Linked DNA regions of Anolis sagrei. The protein of the gene in region 2 interacts with the protein of the main gene of each other region in a pairwise test. Links are inferred from orthologs where the notes say so. Each region holds a gene or a part of one and is shown on either strand. Other genes may lie near its edges.

What was found.
Region 1: the proteins of NEFL (region 2) and SKIL interact in binary tests that used the Homo sapiens proteins (3 or more experiments, as listed by UniProt). The link is inferred for Anolis sagrei from reciprocal best matches to the Homo sapiens genes NEFL and SKIL.

The regions. Positions count from the first base shown.
Region 1 is NC_090023.1:251,988,556-251,996,612, forward strand, and holds the start of SKIL (ski-like protein), read left to right. Parts: upstream 1-5,039; 5' UTR 5,040-5,258; intron 5,259-8,057. UniProt on the Homo sapiens protein: May have regulatory role in cell division or differentiation in response to extracellular signals.
Region 2 is NC_090027.1:5,852,608-5,859,717, forward strand, and holds the start of NEFL (neurofilament light polypeptide), read right to left. Parts: upstream 3,098-7,110; 5' UTR 3,023-3,097; coding exon 1,931-3,022; intron 1-1,930. UniProt on the Homo sapiens protein: Neurofilaments usually contain three intermediate filament proteins: NEFL, NEFM, and NEFH which are involved in the maintenance of neuronal caliber.

The DNA of each region.
Region 1 (8,057 bases), on a different chromosome or scaffold from region 2:
AAGTGTGGTAATTTTATGATCCTGTAGCTTTGTTTAATGTTGGTATACACTTTATCCAGCATGTTAGCTCCCCTGGTGCCACACTTAACATGCTGATAAAACTTAGGGAGCACTGCTTTCAAATCAGCATGGTTAAAATCCCCTGCTATAATGTGCACAGCATCAGGATACTTGTTCTGCTGTTTTTCATCAACATTATACAAAAATCCCAGTGCTGTGTTACTATTAGCATCAGGTGGAATATATACGGAAGTTATCATGACCATATTAAACTCTCATGGGAGATATAAGGGTCTGCATTTGACAGTCAAGTACTTCAGATCTCGAGAGCAATGAGAATCTTTAGTCCTTGAATTACAACACCAGCTTTGGTTCACATAACGACGAACTCTCCCCTCCCTTAGTCTTTACTTCTATCCTGCTGTTAGACTATGTATCCTTCCAGTTCAACAACTGCATCTGGAATGTGTTGGTTGAGCCAGGTTTCTGTAATTAGCAAAACACAGCAGTCCTTGAGAAACTTACTCTTTGCACTCCATAGCCTTAATTCATCCATTTTGTCAACAAGAGATTTTGCATTAGTAAGACAGAAACTTGGAATGGCAGGCTTGTATGGTGAATTTCTCAATCTTGTAAGAGTGCCGGTTCGGCTGGACAACCCCTCTTTCTTCTTCTGTCTCTCCATTTGCCTCCGCCTCCTACCTCCAGCAGGAATAGTAATCCAAGGCTCCCATGGAATCCTAGCAGCCTCCAATGGTATGTTATACAAATATATAAAATTGTCTGTAATAGCTTTTTCACATTCCAGTCCAATTTGTATCAGAACTCGCTGACTGTAGAAACTCCTTGCTTCACAAGAGTGCTCAAAAGAAGCAGGAACACACACAAAAAGACAGGAACACATACAAGACAAGGGGAGCAGCACCCAATTGCAGAAGCCACCAGTGCAGCTATTTTAAAAACAGCTCTCATGGTCAGGATGTTCTGCCTAATGATCAGGTGGAATCTCATTTCCTGACATTTGAACCCATTGCTCCGAGTCCTAGTTTCCAGGACAAAAAACAAGCTTGCTCCCTCTTCCTTATGCCATCCTTAGATGTCATTATCAGTGGTGCAACTGGAGCAAATGTTCTACGTCTCTGTGTCTGCGGGGTTGTAAGCTACTGCTGGTACAACATGTACACACACATATACATCTTGTATCATGATGCTGTGTGATCAAATCCATGCATAATCAAACCTGCAAATGTTGAGGAACAACTCTACTCTCAGGTTTGGCCCCATTTCTTGGCTGCAGAGCAAAACACAGCTGCCATGTTCAATGGCACATTAGTTGGAAAATGGTGAGGAAAGAATGTAAGTAACCACTTTCTCTTTGGTCCAGAGCAGGACTGGCTGTGGTTTACCTTTCCGCATTGGAAATCCAGAACTACAGAAGCAGAGATTGCAAACTGGCACACAGCAAGACCTGTTTTGGGAACTGAACTCGTGCCACCCTAATCTAATCTCAACCCTTATATTTAATTACGGGTATTTACTGCAAACCATGAAAGTGTATACCTTCAGCTACCTTCATGTAATAAACAAATGCAAAGCTACTGGTTGTATTACTCTATCAGTAAAAGAGTGAGCTTTGTATTTATTTATTTCATGTCAAAAGCATTGCATTAATAAACCAGTATAAAACTGATAAAGGGAGCATAAGCAGCTAAATAATTTTAGACCAAAGACAGGCAACTGTGACCGTATTGTATATAGCTAGAAACTTTTCTTCCTCTGTGCATGAGGCAGGGCATTGTGGGCAAGCATACAGATGCTGAGTTGTTTGTTCTGCTCCACAGTTGCACAGGGTGGAGGATTCTTTTAATTAGTATCATTTTGCCAGGTTGTCTTTTGATCTGCCCACTCCGCTTCCGAATCTGTTCAGGGACTTCCAAGTTTCCCATTCTTGGTTTGCCCCTGGAGGCAGACCATCGTGGGAGGCCATCCACTTGGGATTTCCTGGTTTAGCTGCCCAGAGGGATACTCTTGCTATTGCTGGGGGAACATTAAGAGAAGTGGTGGTCCTCATCAGGCCCGTAGCCAGGATTTTGATTCAGGGGGTGCTGAGTTTAATTCAGGGGGTGCTGAGGATCTACCCTAACAAACTTTTTGTATCATTATCCCAATACCCCCATGCATATGGGATATATTGAGCATGGTGATCAGATCATGATATGAATAAACACAACAGTTTAAATAATGTACCAATAAGGCCTTCTTGCGGACCACTCTGAGAATTTGGGGGGGGGGGGGCTGAAGCCCCCTGGCTACATGCCTGGTCCACCATTTTCCTTGACTTGAGTCTATTGGGAGGAGACTGATAGCCACACAGTGAGTGGCTTTAACATTGTTTAGCCTTATTCCTTTAGTGATTGGCAGCAACTTCTCCTTGCACATCGGGGGGTGGGTAATGCTAGCAAGCTTATACAGTCTATCAGCAGATGTAGGTCTAAGACACCCTGTGATTATTCTACATGTTTCATTCAGTGCTATATTCACCTGCAAGTACATGTAGGCAGTTAGGTTGTAAAAAAAGGAAAGGGTGAGAGGTATAACTGAATAAGGAACTGTTCTACCTTTAAGGAGCATGTATCACAGGTAGTTAAAGCGAGGTGAGAGGTAAGTAAGTACAAGTGGGTTAAGTGCTCAACTCAGTATGTGGCAAACTTCGGCCCACCAAGTGTTTTGGATTTGAACTCCCACAATTCCTAACTGCTGTAGTCCATCCCAATAGTCTCTGGTGTGACAATCAGAAGCAGAATCCCAATTTCTCTTCATCCTAGGACATTTTCCCACCTGCGTTACAGAACGGAGGCTGAACTCTGGGAAATGTAATTTAGGGAAGCTGAAGACCGCTCTGGCTGAGAATTCGAAAGGCTCTGCCCTGAACTACATTTCCCAGAAGTCTGTAGTAACAACTCCAATAACTGCCTCCATTCTATAACACTGGTGGTAAAACGTCCCTGGAGATTGCTGGAGGGAAAGGAGTAGAAATATCAGTATGCTACACCCCAGATCTCTATCCTTCACAGCAGTTGTACAACCAAGGGCTTGAATTATTGTGGCAATGATCCCACAAACACAGATTCATAGAGACTGTGGATATTACAGACATATAATTCTAGGTAATTCTAGGACTCCATAACTGAGATAGCGAACTCCAGCTTTTGTATGGCATTACTTACATGCTCTGAATTTCACCATCTAGTTATCTCTGAAGTCCATGCCAAGGGGATGTGCTTCTGACCACAACATACAAATCAACTTTCCTTCCTTCCTTCTGCCCCTCCTTGATACATACCTTCTTTTCATGCTCAGAAACACCTGTCCTTATGATAATATCAGAATCCACATCTTTCTCACAAGCCACTTTACGCCTCCCCCCATGCTCCCCTCCAGCTCTGAGCCAATAGTCCCAAGACTGGTGATTCATAGAGACTGTGCATATTATGGATGTGTTATGACTCCTTAACGGAGATGGTAAATTCTATTCTTTGAATGGTAGTACTCCTTACATGCCCTGAATTTCACCTAGTGGTCTCTGAAGTCCATGCCAAGGTGATGTGCTTCTGCCCACAACATATCTTCCTATTTATGTATCTATCTTCCTATCTATCTGTCTATCTTCCTATTTATCTATGTATCTATCTTCCTATGCATGCATGCATGCATGCATGCATCTATCTATCTATCTATCTATCTATCTATCTATCCTATGTATCTATCTATCTATGTATCTATCTTCCTATCTGCCTTCCTATTTATGTAACTATCTTCCTATCTGTCTACCTTCCTATGTATCTATCTTCCTATGTATCTGTCTTCCTATCTATATTCCTATTTGTTTTCCTATCTATCTGTCTTCCTATCTTCCTATCTACCTTCCTTTCTATTGATCTTAATATCTACCTTCTTATCTATCTGTCTGTCTATCTATCGATCTTCCTATCTATCTATTTATCGGTCTGTCGATCTTCCTTTCTATCTACCTTCCTATCTATCTATCTGTCAATCGATCTTCCTATCTATCTGTGTATCTTCCTATCTACCTTCTTATCTATTTATCTGTCTGTCGATCTTCCTTTCTATCTTCCTATCTACCTTCCTATCTATCTGTCTGTCTATCTATCAATCTTCCTATCTGTATTTTCCTATCTACCTACCTATATACCTTCCTATCTATCTTCATATCTACCTTCCTATCTATCTATCTATCTATATCTCTCTCTATCTATCGATCTTCCTATCTATCTGTGTATCTTCCTATCTACCTTCCTATCTATCGATCCGTCAATCTTCCTTTCTATCTTCCTATCTACCTTCCTTCCTATCTCTCTCTCTATCGATCTTCCTATCTTCCTAACTACCTTACTATCTTCCTATCTACTTTCCTATCTTTCTGTCTATCTATCTTCCTGTATATGTATCTATCCTCCTATCTATCTTCCTATCTATCCATCTATTTTTCCTTCCTTCCTTCCTTCCTTGATCCCAAGCTTCCCTCCACGCTCCAGCCAGGCAAGAGTGACTGCATTGCGTTTTCTGTTAAAACCACTATGGGGCAAACTTGGGCCCAGGCAGGCTGTTAGGAATTGTGGGAGGTGAGGTCCAACCCCCCCCCCCCGAAGTTTGCCCAGGCTTAGCCTAGGCCAGGCATGGGCAAACTTGGGCCCTCCTCCTTCCAGGTGTTTTGGACTTCAACTCCCACCATTCCTAACAGCCTCAGGCCCTTTCCTTTTCCCCCTCAGCCGCTTAAGCGGCTGAGGGGGAAAAGGAAGGGGCCTGAGGCTGTTAGGAATGGTGGGAGTTGGACTCCAAAACACCTGGAAGGAAGGCCCAAGTTTGCCCCTGCCTGGCCTAGGCCTAGCCCTTGGCTTCTAGACTCTGTCTCTGTGAAGGAAGGAGACGCATGACGTCACTCTCTCTCTCTCTCTCCCTGGGAGCCGGAGTCCAGACGGTGGGCGGGGCTTGGCGGCGGGGCGCGCGTGCGCGTTGCCGTGGCCGGGTTCGTGCCCGCGCGCCGCCTCGTCTCCGTCTCCATCACGTCCTCCTCCTCCTCCTCCTCCTCCTCTGTCTCTGTCTCCGCAGTGAGGTCACGGGGAGGCGGCGCGTCGTCAGACAGACGGAGACGGAGAGAGAGAGAGAGAGAGAGAGACGTCGGTCCCTCCGTTCGAGCTCTCTCGCCCAGGACAGGAGGGGGGACAGGTCACTCTGAGGTAAATCTGCGGGGAAAGGGAAGCCAGCCGGGTTTCAACCCCTGCCTGTGTGGATGATATTCTGTGTGTATCCCTGACTCGGAAAGGAGGAGAAAGGTCTCCTGTCTGCTGGGCTTGGCTGGCGGCGTGAAGGGGAGGAGGAGGAGGAGGAGGGATTGCTCCTTCGTGTGTGTGTCTTTTTCGGTGAGGAAGGCCTTGTTCGTGTGTGTATGAGGGGGTACAGCTTATGAATATGCATGAGGAGGGGGTACAGCTTATGAATATTCATGAGGGGTACAGCTTATGACTATTCATGAGGGGAAGAGGAGGCTGGGCTTGAGCCCCTTTCCCACAAGCAAGGGAGGCCAATATAGTGTTATATCTCTTTATTATTATTATATCTTATCATTACTATATTTATTACTATCTCTTATTGTGTCTTATTATTGTCTCTTATTATTACTATTAATATCTCTTATTATTATTATCTCTTATTATTGTTATATCTCTTTATTATTATTATTATAATATCTTATTACTATATTTATTATCTCTTATTATGTGTTATTATTATCTCTTATTATTACTGTCATTATTATCTCTTTATTATTATTATATCTTATTACTATATTTATTATCTCATATTATGTCTTATTATTATCTCTTATTATTACTGTTATTATCTCTTATTATTATCTCTTATCATTGTTATATCTCTTTATAATTATTATATCTTATTACTACTATATTTATTTATGATCTCATATTATTATTATGTCTTATTATTACTGTTGTTATCTCTTATTATTATTATCTCTTATTATTATTGTTATATCTCTTTATTATTATATCTTATTACTACTATATTTATTTATTATCTCATATTAATACATCTTATTATTACTGTTATTATCTCTTATTATTATTATCTCTTATTATTGTTATATCTCTTTATTATTATATCTTATTATTACTATATTTATTACTATCTCATTATGTCTTATTATTGTCTCTTCTATTACTATTAATATCTCTTATCTCTTATTCTTATTGCCATTATTATATTTATATATCTCTATCATGCTTTCTATTATCTCTTATTATTATTTCTTATTATCTCTTATTTATTACTTTTATTCTATTATTATTACTATTATTATTATTATTATTATATCTTTTTTATTATATCTTATTATTGCTATATTTATTATTATCTCTTATTGTGTCTTATTATTGTCTCTTATTACTATTAATATCTCTTATCTATTATCTCTTATTATTATTTATTATTATCTCTTATTATTTCTTACTTTTATTCTATTATTATTATATCTCTTTTTTATTATATCTTATTACTACATTTATTTATTATCTCTTATTATTTCTTTTATTCTTTTTATTCTGATTTCTTCTTATCTCTTCTTATCTCTTCTTATTATTATTACCATTATTATATTTATATATCTCTATCCCGCTTTCTATTATCTTTTATTATAATTTCTCTTATTATAATTTCTTTTATTTTCTCTTATTATTTAGTCTTACCTTTTATTACTATTCTCTTCTTATGTCTTATTCTTACATAGTTTTATTCTTGTTATTTCTTATTATTATATCTTATAATCTCTTATTCTTATTATCTATTAATATTATTATGACCATCATTATATTTATGTCTCTATCCCACTTTCTATATTATTATTTCTTACTATTCTTTTATTATAATTTATTATTATCTCTTTTATTCTCTTATTGTGTCTTATTCTTATCTTATTATTATATCTTATTATCTCTTATTCTTATGACCACTATTATTTATTTATATTTATATCTCTCTATCCCGCTTTCTATTATATCTGATTAGTATTATTATTTCTTACTATTGTCTTATTATAATTTCTTATTATATCTTATTATCTCTTATTCTTATGACCATTATTATATTTATATGTCTCTATCCCGCTTTCTATTATCTCTTATTATTATTATCTCTTATTATTTCTTACTATTATTCTCTTATGATTATAATTTCTTCTTACTTATCATTATTATTATTATCTTTTATTATTTCTTCCTATTACCTTATTATAATTTCTTCTTCTTACCTCTTATTATTATCTTTCCTTATTATTATGACCTTTATTATATTTATGTGTCTCTATCCCGCTTTTATCTCGATTGAGATTGGAAGGCGAGAGGAGGGGGGAAGGCAGGAAAGAGGGGATTGCGCCTTTAAAGCCCCCCTCCCCTTTAAAATCCTGGGGGGGGGGGTCGTTGCGTTGGAGGAAGCGTCTTTAAAGACCCCCCCCCCCCCTCCATCCAAGAAGATTGCTTGGATTGAATAGGAAGGCAAAGAGGGTTGTTTCTTAGGTCAGAAAGGAGAGAAAGGCTCCCCTTTAAAGCTTTAAAGGCCTTCCTCTCTCATGGGAGAGGGTCTCTTGGGTGGGACTGCGCCTTTAAAAACCCCCCTCCCTTCCCTCTTCTTCTTCCATCCAGGGTTTGGGTCGGAGGGCGCTTTTCAACCCACCCACCACCCCTTTATTTCCTCCTCCTTGTTCTGCTCTCCTCCTTCCTTCCTCCCTTCCTCCCTCCCTTGGCCTCCCTTGTGTCTGCTGCTGCTGCCTCTGCTAGACTTAACCTTCCTCACCTCCCTTTGGGGAGGGAGGAGCGTCTGTAGCACAGCAGGCCCGTCTGAGACGGCGGCGGCGGGGAGGAAGGGAAGGGAAGGGAAGGAGTTGAGTTCAGGGCAAAGAAGGGAAATTCCGGGGGAGGGAGGGGGGAGGAAGGAGGCCGCCGCCGGGCTCTGGCTTCTAGGGTTTC
Region 2 (7,110 bases):
TCCTGAACTAGATACCCTCCCCCGTATCCGCAGCAACCTTCCTTCCCCTCTCCCCTGGTATCCGCGGGCCCCCTTGGTGCCCACCTGGAGGGTGGTGATGTGCTTCTCCTCTAACTCCTGAACTAGATACCCTCCCCCGTATCCGCAGCAACCTTCCTTCCCCTCTCCCCTGGTATCCGCGGGCCCCCTTGGTGCCCACCTGGAGGGTGGTGATGTGCTTCTCCTCTAACTCCTGAACTAGATACCCTCTCACGTATCCGCAGCAACCTTCCTTCCCCTCCCCCTCGGTATCCACGGGCCCCCTTGGTGCCCACCTGGAGGGTGGTGATGTGCTTCTCCTCTAACTCCTGAACTAGATACCCTCCCACGTATCCGCAGCAACCTTCCTTCCCCTCCCCCTCGGTATCCGCGGGCCCCCTTGGTGCCCAACTGGAGGGTGGTGATGTGCTTCTCCTCTAACTCCTGAACTAGATACCCTCCCCCGTATCCGCAGCAACCTTCCTTCCCCTCTCCCCTGGTATCCGCGGGCCCCCTTGGTGCCCACCTGGAGGGTGGTGATGTGCTTCTCCTCTAACTCCTGAACTAGATACCCTCCCCCGTATCCGCAGCAACCTTCCTTCCCCTCTCCCCTGGTATCCGCGGGCCCCCTTGGTGCCCACCTGGAGGGTGGTGATGTGCTTCTCCTCTAACTCCTGAACTAGATACCCTCTCACGTATCCGCAGCAACCTTCCTTCCCCTCCCCCTCGGTATCCACGGGCCCCCTTGGTGCCCACCTGGAGGGTGGTGATGTGCTTCTCCTCTAACTCCTGAACTAGATACCCTCCCACGTATCCGCAGCAACCTTCCTTCCCCTCCCCCTCGGTATCCGCGGGCCCCCTTGGTGCCCAACTGGAGGGTGGTGATGTGCTTCTCCTCTAACTCCTGAACTAGATACCCTCCCCCGTATCCGCAGCAACCTTCCTTCCCCTCTCCCCTGGTATCCGCGGGCCCCCTTGGTGCCCACCTGGAGGGCAGCGAAGCCAGCATTATGCTTCTCCTCAAGCTCCTGAACTAGATACCCTCCCCCGTATCCGCAGCAATCTTCCTTCCCCTCTCCCCCGTATCCGCGGGTCCCCCTTGGTGCCCACTTCGAGATCGGCATTGTGCTTCTCCTTGAGCTCCTGATCTAGATACCCTCCCCCTTACCTGTGGCAACCTTCCCCCTCCCCCAGTATCCGTGGGTCCCCCTTTGTTCCCACCTGGAGGGCGGTGATGTGCTTCTCCTCTAAGTCCTGATCTAGATACCCTCCCCCATATCCGCAGCAACCTTCCTTCTCCTCTCCCCCGGTATTCGCGGGCCCACCGGTTGGTGCCCACCTGGAGGTCGGCGAGGTCGGCATTGTGCTTCTCTTCGAGCTCCTGATTTAGATACCCTCCCCCATATCCGCAGCAACCTTCCCCCTCCCCTGGTATCTGCGGGTCCCCCTTGGCGCCCACCTGGAGGGCGGTGATGTGCTTCTCCTCTAACTCCTGATCTAGTTACCCTCCCCCTGTATGTGGGTCCCCCTTGGTGCCCACCTGGAGGTCGGCATTGTGCTTCTCCTCGAGGTCCTGATCTAGATACCCTCTCCCATATCCCTGTATCTAGATACCCTTCCCCGGTATCCGCGGGTCCCCCTTTGTGCCTACCTGGAGGGCGGCGATGTGTTTCTCCTCTAACTCCTGATCTAGATACCCTCCCCTGTATCCCTGTATCTAGATACCCTCCCCCATATCTAGATACCCTCCCCCATATCCGCGGCAATCTCTCCCCCGGTATCTGCGGGTCCCCCTTTGTTCTCACCTGGAGGGAGGTGATGTGCGAGCTCCTGATCTAGATACCTTCCCCCGTATCCGCGGCAACCTCCCCCCTCCCCCGGTATCCGCCCCCCCCCCCCCGTTGGTGCCCACCTGGAGGGCGGCGAGGTCTGCGTTGTGCTTCTCCTCGAGCTCCTGGAGCTGCTTCTCGAGGGCCTCGTTGGCTCCGCGCGTGGCCTCGATCTCGAGGGTCTTGGCCTTGAGGAGGCGGCGGCTCTCGGCCACCTCGTCCTTGGCGGCGCGGGCGGCGTCGGTGTTCTTGGCGGCGCTCTCGGAGAGGACGGAGAAGCGGCTGCGGAACCACTCCTCGGCGTTCTGCATGTTGCGGGCGGCGAGGCGCTCGTACTGGGCGCGGATGTCGCGGAGGGCGGCGGAGAGGTCGGGCTTGGCGCTGGCGCCCAGGTCGGCCTCGGCGGAGAGCTGGGCGCCTTGCTGGGCCACCTGGGCTTGCAGCTCGGCCAGCTCCTCCTCGTGCACCTTCTTGAGGAAGGCCAGCTCGTCGAGGAGCGAGTCGACGCGCTTCTCCAGCTCGGCGCGGCCCAGCGCGGCTTCGTCGGCGGCCTTGCGGGCTTCCAAGAGGCGGGCTTCGGCTTCCTCTCGGGCGGCGGCCTCCTCCTCGACGCGCCCGGCCAGCGCCCGCAGCGTCTCCTCCAAGCCTTCGCGCTCCCCTTGCAGCGCGGCTCGCTCGTGGCCGGCCTCCTCGGCGGCGAGGCGCAGCTCGCGGATCTCCTGCTCGTAGAGGGCGCGGAAGCGGGAGGGCTCGGCGTGCCTCTGCCGCAAGCCCAGCAGCTCCGCCTCCAGCGCCTTGTTCTGCTGCTCCAGCTCGTGGACGCGCTCGATGAAGCAGGCGAAGCGGTCGTTCAGGTCCTGCAGCTGCGCCTTCTCCTGGCTCCGGATGGCCTTCAGGTCGTTGCTCAGCGCCGCCACCTGCGTCAGGTCCAGGCTCTCCGCCGCCAGCGCCGCCGAGAACGACGACGAGGCCGACGACGACGCCGCGTAGCTCCGCCGCACCGACACCGACGACAGCGGCGCGGACAGGCTCGAGTAGGTCGAGCGGGAGGACGCCCCGTAGCCCAGCCCTGCGCCCAAGCCCCGCACCCGCGACGACGACGAGGAGGACACCCCGCCGTCGGCGAAGCGGCGCTTGTAGGCCGGGAAGTACGTCTCGTAGCCGAACGAGCTCATCGTCTTGCCCGAGTTTGCCTCAGAGAGGAGAAGGAGAAGGAGCAGCAGAGGAAGAGACAACCTTCTGCGGAAGAGCGCCGCACTCCGCTCCTATTTATACCCAACAAAGTGGGCGGGGACTCCTCTCGCCACGCCCCTCTCTGCCCGCGTTAAGCCACACCCCCTTTACTGCTGTGGAAGAGAACCACAGACCTAGAGTCGGATTCATAGAATGCTAGAGTTGGTTGAGGCAAAGGTGAATGTTGCAATTAGTATTGAATGGTCTTGCAGCTTCGAAGCCTGGCTGCTTCTAACAGCTACCATCCACTCCAACACCATTCTGCCAAGAAGCAGGAAACTCCCGTTCAAAGCACCCCCAACAGCACCCCCATCCATCCTCTGTTGAAAAGCCTTCAAAGAAAGAGGCTCCACGACACACCGGGGCAGAGAGTTCCACTGCTGAACGGCTCTCACATAGAATCCTAGAGTTGGAAGAGACCTCATGGGCCATCCAGTCCAACCCTATTCTGCCAAGAAGCAGGAAAATCCCATTCAAAGCACCCCCAACAGATGGTCATCCATCCTAGAGTTGGAAGAGACCTCGTGGGCCATCCAGTCCAACCCCATTCTGCCAATTAGAACAAAAAATCCAATTCAAAGCACCCTCAACAGATGGCCATCCAAACTCTGTTGAAAAGCCTTCAAAGAAGGAGCCTCCACCACACTCCAGGGCAGAGAGTTCCACTGCTGAACAGCTCTCACATAGAACCCATTCTGCCCGACAGATGGCCACCCAGCCTCTGTTTCAAAGCCTCCACCGCACTCAGGGGCAGAGAGTTCCACTGCTGAACAGCTCTCACATAGAACCCATTCTGCCCAACAGATGGCCACCCAGCCTCTGTTTCAAAGCCTCCACCACACTCAGGGGCAGAGAGTTCCACTGCTGAACAGCTCTCACATAGAACATTCTGCCATGAAGCAGGAAAATCCCATTCAAAGCACCCTCAATAGATGGTCATCCATCCTAGAGTTGGAAGAGACCTCATGGGCCATCCAGTCCAACCCCATTCTGCCAATTAGAACAAAAATCCCATTCAAAGCACCCCCAACATATGGTCATCCATCCTCTGTTGAAAAGCCTTCAAACAAGGAGCCTCCACCACACGCCGGGGAGGAGAGTTCCACTGCTGAACAGCTCTCACATAGAATCCTAGAGTTGGAAGAGAATTCATGGGCCATCCAGTCCAAACCCATTCTGCCAATTAAAACAAAAATCCCATTCAAAGCACCCCCAACAGATGCCCATCCAGCCTCTGTTGAAAAGCCTCCACCACACTCCGGGGCAGAGAGTTCCACTGCTGAATAGCTCTCACATAGAATCCTAGAGTTGGAAGAGACTTCGTGGGCCATCCAGTCCAACCCCATTCTGCCAATTAGAACAAAAATCCTATTCAAAGCACCCTGACAGATGGCCATCCAGCCTCTGTTTAAAAGCCTCCATCACACTTCGGAGCAGAGAGTTCCACTGCTGAACAGCTTTCACAGTTAGCAAGTTCTAAAAATTATAAAATTCTAAAGATGGTTGAGGCAAGTGTGAATGTTGCAATTGGCCACCTTGATTGGTATTGAATGTTCTTGCAGCTTCAAAGCCTGCTGAATCTACCATCCTTTCCAACCCCATTCTGCCAAAAAGCAGGAAAATTCCACTCAAAACACCCCGACAGATGGCCATCCAACCTCTGTTTAAAAGCCTCCAAAGCTGCTATGAAAGAGAACCACAGACCTAGAGTCATAGATTCATAGAATTCTAGAGCTGGAAGAGGCAAGTATGAATGTTGCAATTGGCCACCTTGATTAGTATTGAATGGCCTCGCAGCTTCAAAGCTTGGCTGCTTCTAACAACTACCATCCAGTCCAACCCCATTCTGCCAAGAATCAGGAAAATCTCATTCAAAGCACCCCCAAAAGATGGCCATCCAACCTCTGTTTAAAAGCCTCCAAAGAAGGAGCCCCCACCACACTCCGGGGCAGAGTGTTCCACTGCTGAACAGCTCTCACGTAGAATCCTAGAGTTGGATAAGACCTCATGGACCATCCGGTCCAGCCCCATTCTGCCAAAAAAACCCAAAAATCCCATTCAAACCACCTTCAACAGATGGCCATCCAAACTCTGTTGAAAAGCCTTCAAAGAAGGAGCCTTCACTACACTCCTGGGCAGAGAATTCCACTGCTGAACAGCTCTCACATAGAATCCTAGAATTGGAAGAGACCTCATGGGGCATCCAGTCCAACCCTATTCTGTCAATAAGCAGAAAATCCCATTCAAAGCATCCCGACAGATGGCCATCCAGCCTCTGTTGAAAAGCAAAGAAGGAGCCTCCACCACACTCCAGGGCAGAGAGTTCCACTGCTGAACAGCTCTCACATAGAATCCTAGATTTGGAAGAGACCTCATGGGCCATCCAGTCCAACCCTATTCTGCCAAGAGATATTGACAAGCTGGAATGTGTTCAGAAGGGGGCGACTCAACTGATCAAGGGTCTGGAGAACAAGCCCTTTGAGGAGCGGCTTACAGAGCTGGGCATGTTTTGCCTGAAGAAGAGAAGGATGAGAGGAGATTTGATAGCCATGTATAAATAAGTGAGAGGAAGCCACAGGGAAGAGATAGCAAGCTTGTTTTCTGCTGCCCTGGAGACTAGGATGCAATGGAACAATGGCTTCAAACTACAAGAAAGGAGATTCCACCTGAACATTAGGAAGAACTTCCTGACTGTGAGAGCCGTTCAGCAGTGGAACTCTCTGCCCTGGAGTGTGGTGGTGGCTCCTTCTTTGGAAGCTTTTAAACAGAGGCTGGATGGCCATCTGTCAGGGGTGCTTTGAATGCAATTTTCCTGCTTCTTGGCAGAATGAGGTTGGACTGGATGGCCCAGGAGGTCTCGTCCAACTCTAGGATTCTTATGATTCTATAAGAAACAGGAAAATCCCATTTAAAGCACCCCCAACAGATGGCAATCCAGCCTCTGTTTAGAAGCCTCCAAAGAAGGAGCCTCCACCACACTCTGGGGCAGAGAGTTCCATTGCTGAACAGCTCTCACATTGCTGACCATCTCTCTGGATCCTAGAGTTGGAGGAGACCTCATGGGCCATCCAGTCCAACCCCATTCTTCCAAGAAGCAGGAAAATCCCATTCAAAGCACTCCTGACAGATAGCCATCTAGCCTCTGTTTCAAATCCTCCAAAGAAGGAGCCTCCACCATAATCCGGGGCAGAGAGTTCCACTGCTGAACAGCTCTCACATTATTATTATTATTGTTATTATTATTATTATTATTATTATTATTATTATTATTATTATTGTGTGAGATCAGATAATCCAGCATATATAATCCAGCATATAGATCTCATTTGCTGTGACCGTACTGTGGTTTTGTGTCAGTAAAATAATAATAACAATAAACTTTATTTATAGCCCGCCACCATCTACCAAAGGAGACTTGGGGGGCTTACATGAGGCTTGGCCCAGCAATAGAATCAGAGAATCATAGAATCAAAGAGTTGGAAGAGACCTCCTGGGCCATCCAGTCCAACCCCATTCTGCCAAGAAGCCGGAATATTGCATTTAAATCACCCCTGACAGATGGCCATCCAGCCTCTGTTTAAAAGCTTCCAAAGAAGGAGCCTCCACCACACTCCGGGGCAGAGAGTTCCACTGCTGAACGGCTCTCACAGTCAGGAAGTTCTTCCTCATGTTCAGATGGAATCTCCTCTCTTGTAGTTTGAAGCCATTGTTCCACGTCCTAGTCTCCAGGGAAGCAGAAAACAAGCTTGCTCCCTCCTCCCTGTGGCTTCCTCTCACATATTTATACATGGCTATCATATCCCCTCTCAGCCTTCTCTTCTTCAGGCTAAACATGCCCAGCTCTTTAAGCCGCTCTTCATAGGGCTTGTTCTCCAGACCCTTGATCATTTTAGTCGCCCTCCTCTGGACACATTCCAGCTTGTCAATATCTCTCTTGAATTGTGGTGCCCAGAATTGGACACAATATTCCAGGTGTGGTCTAACCAGAGCGGAATAGAGGGGTAGCATGACTTCCCTAGATCTAGACACT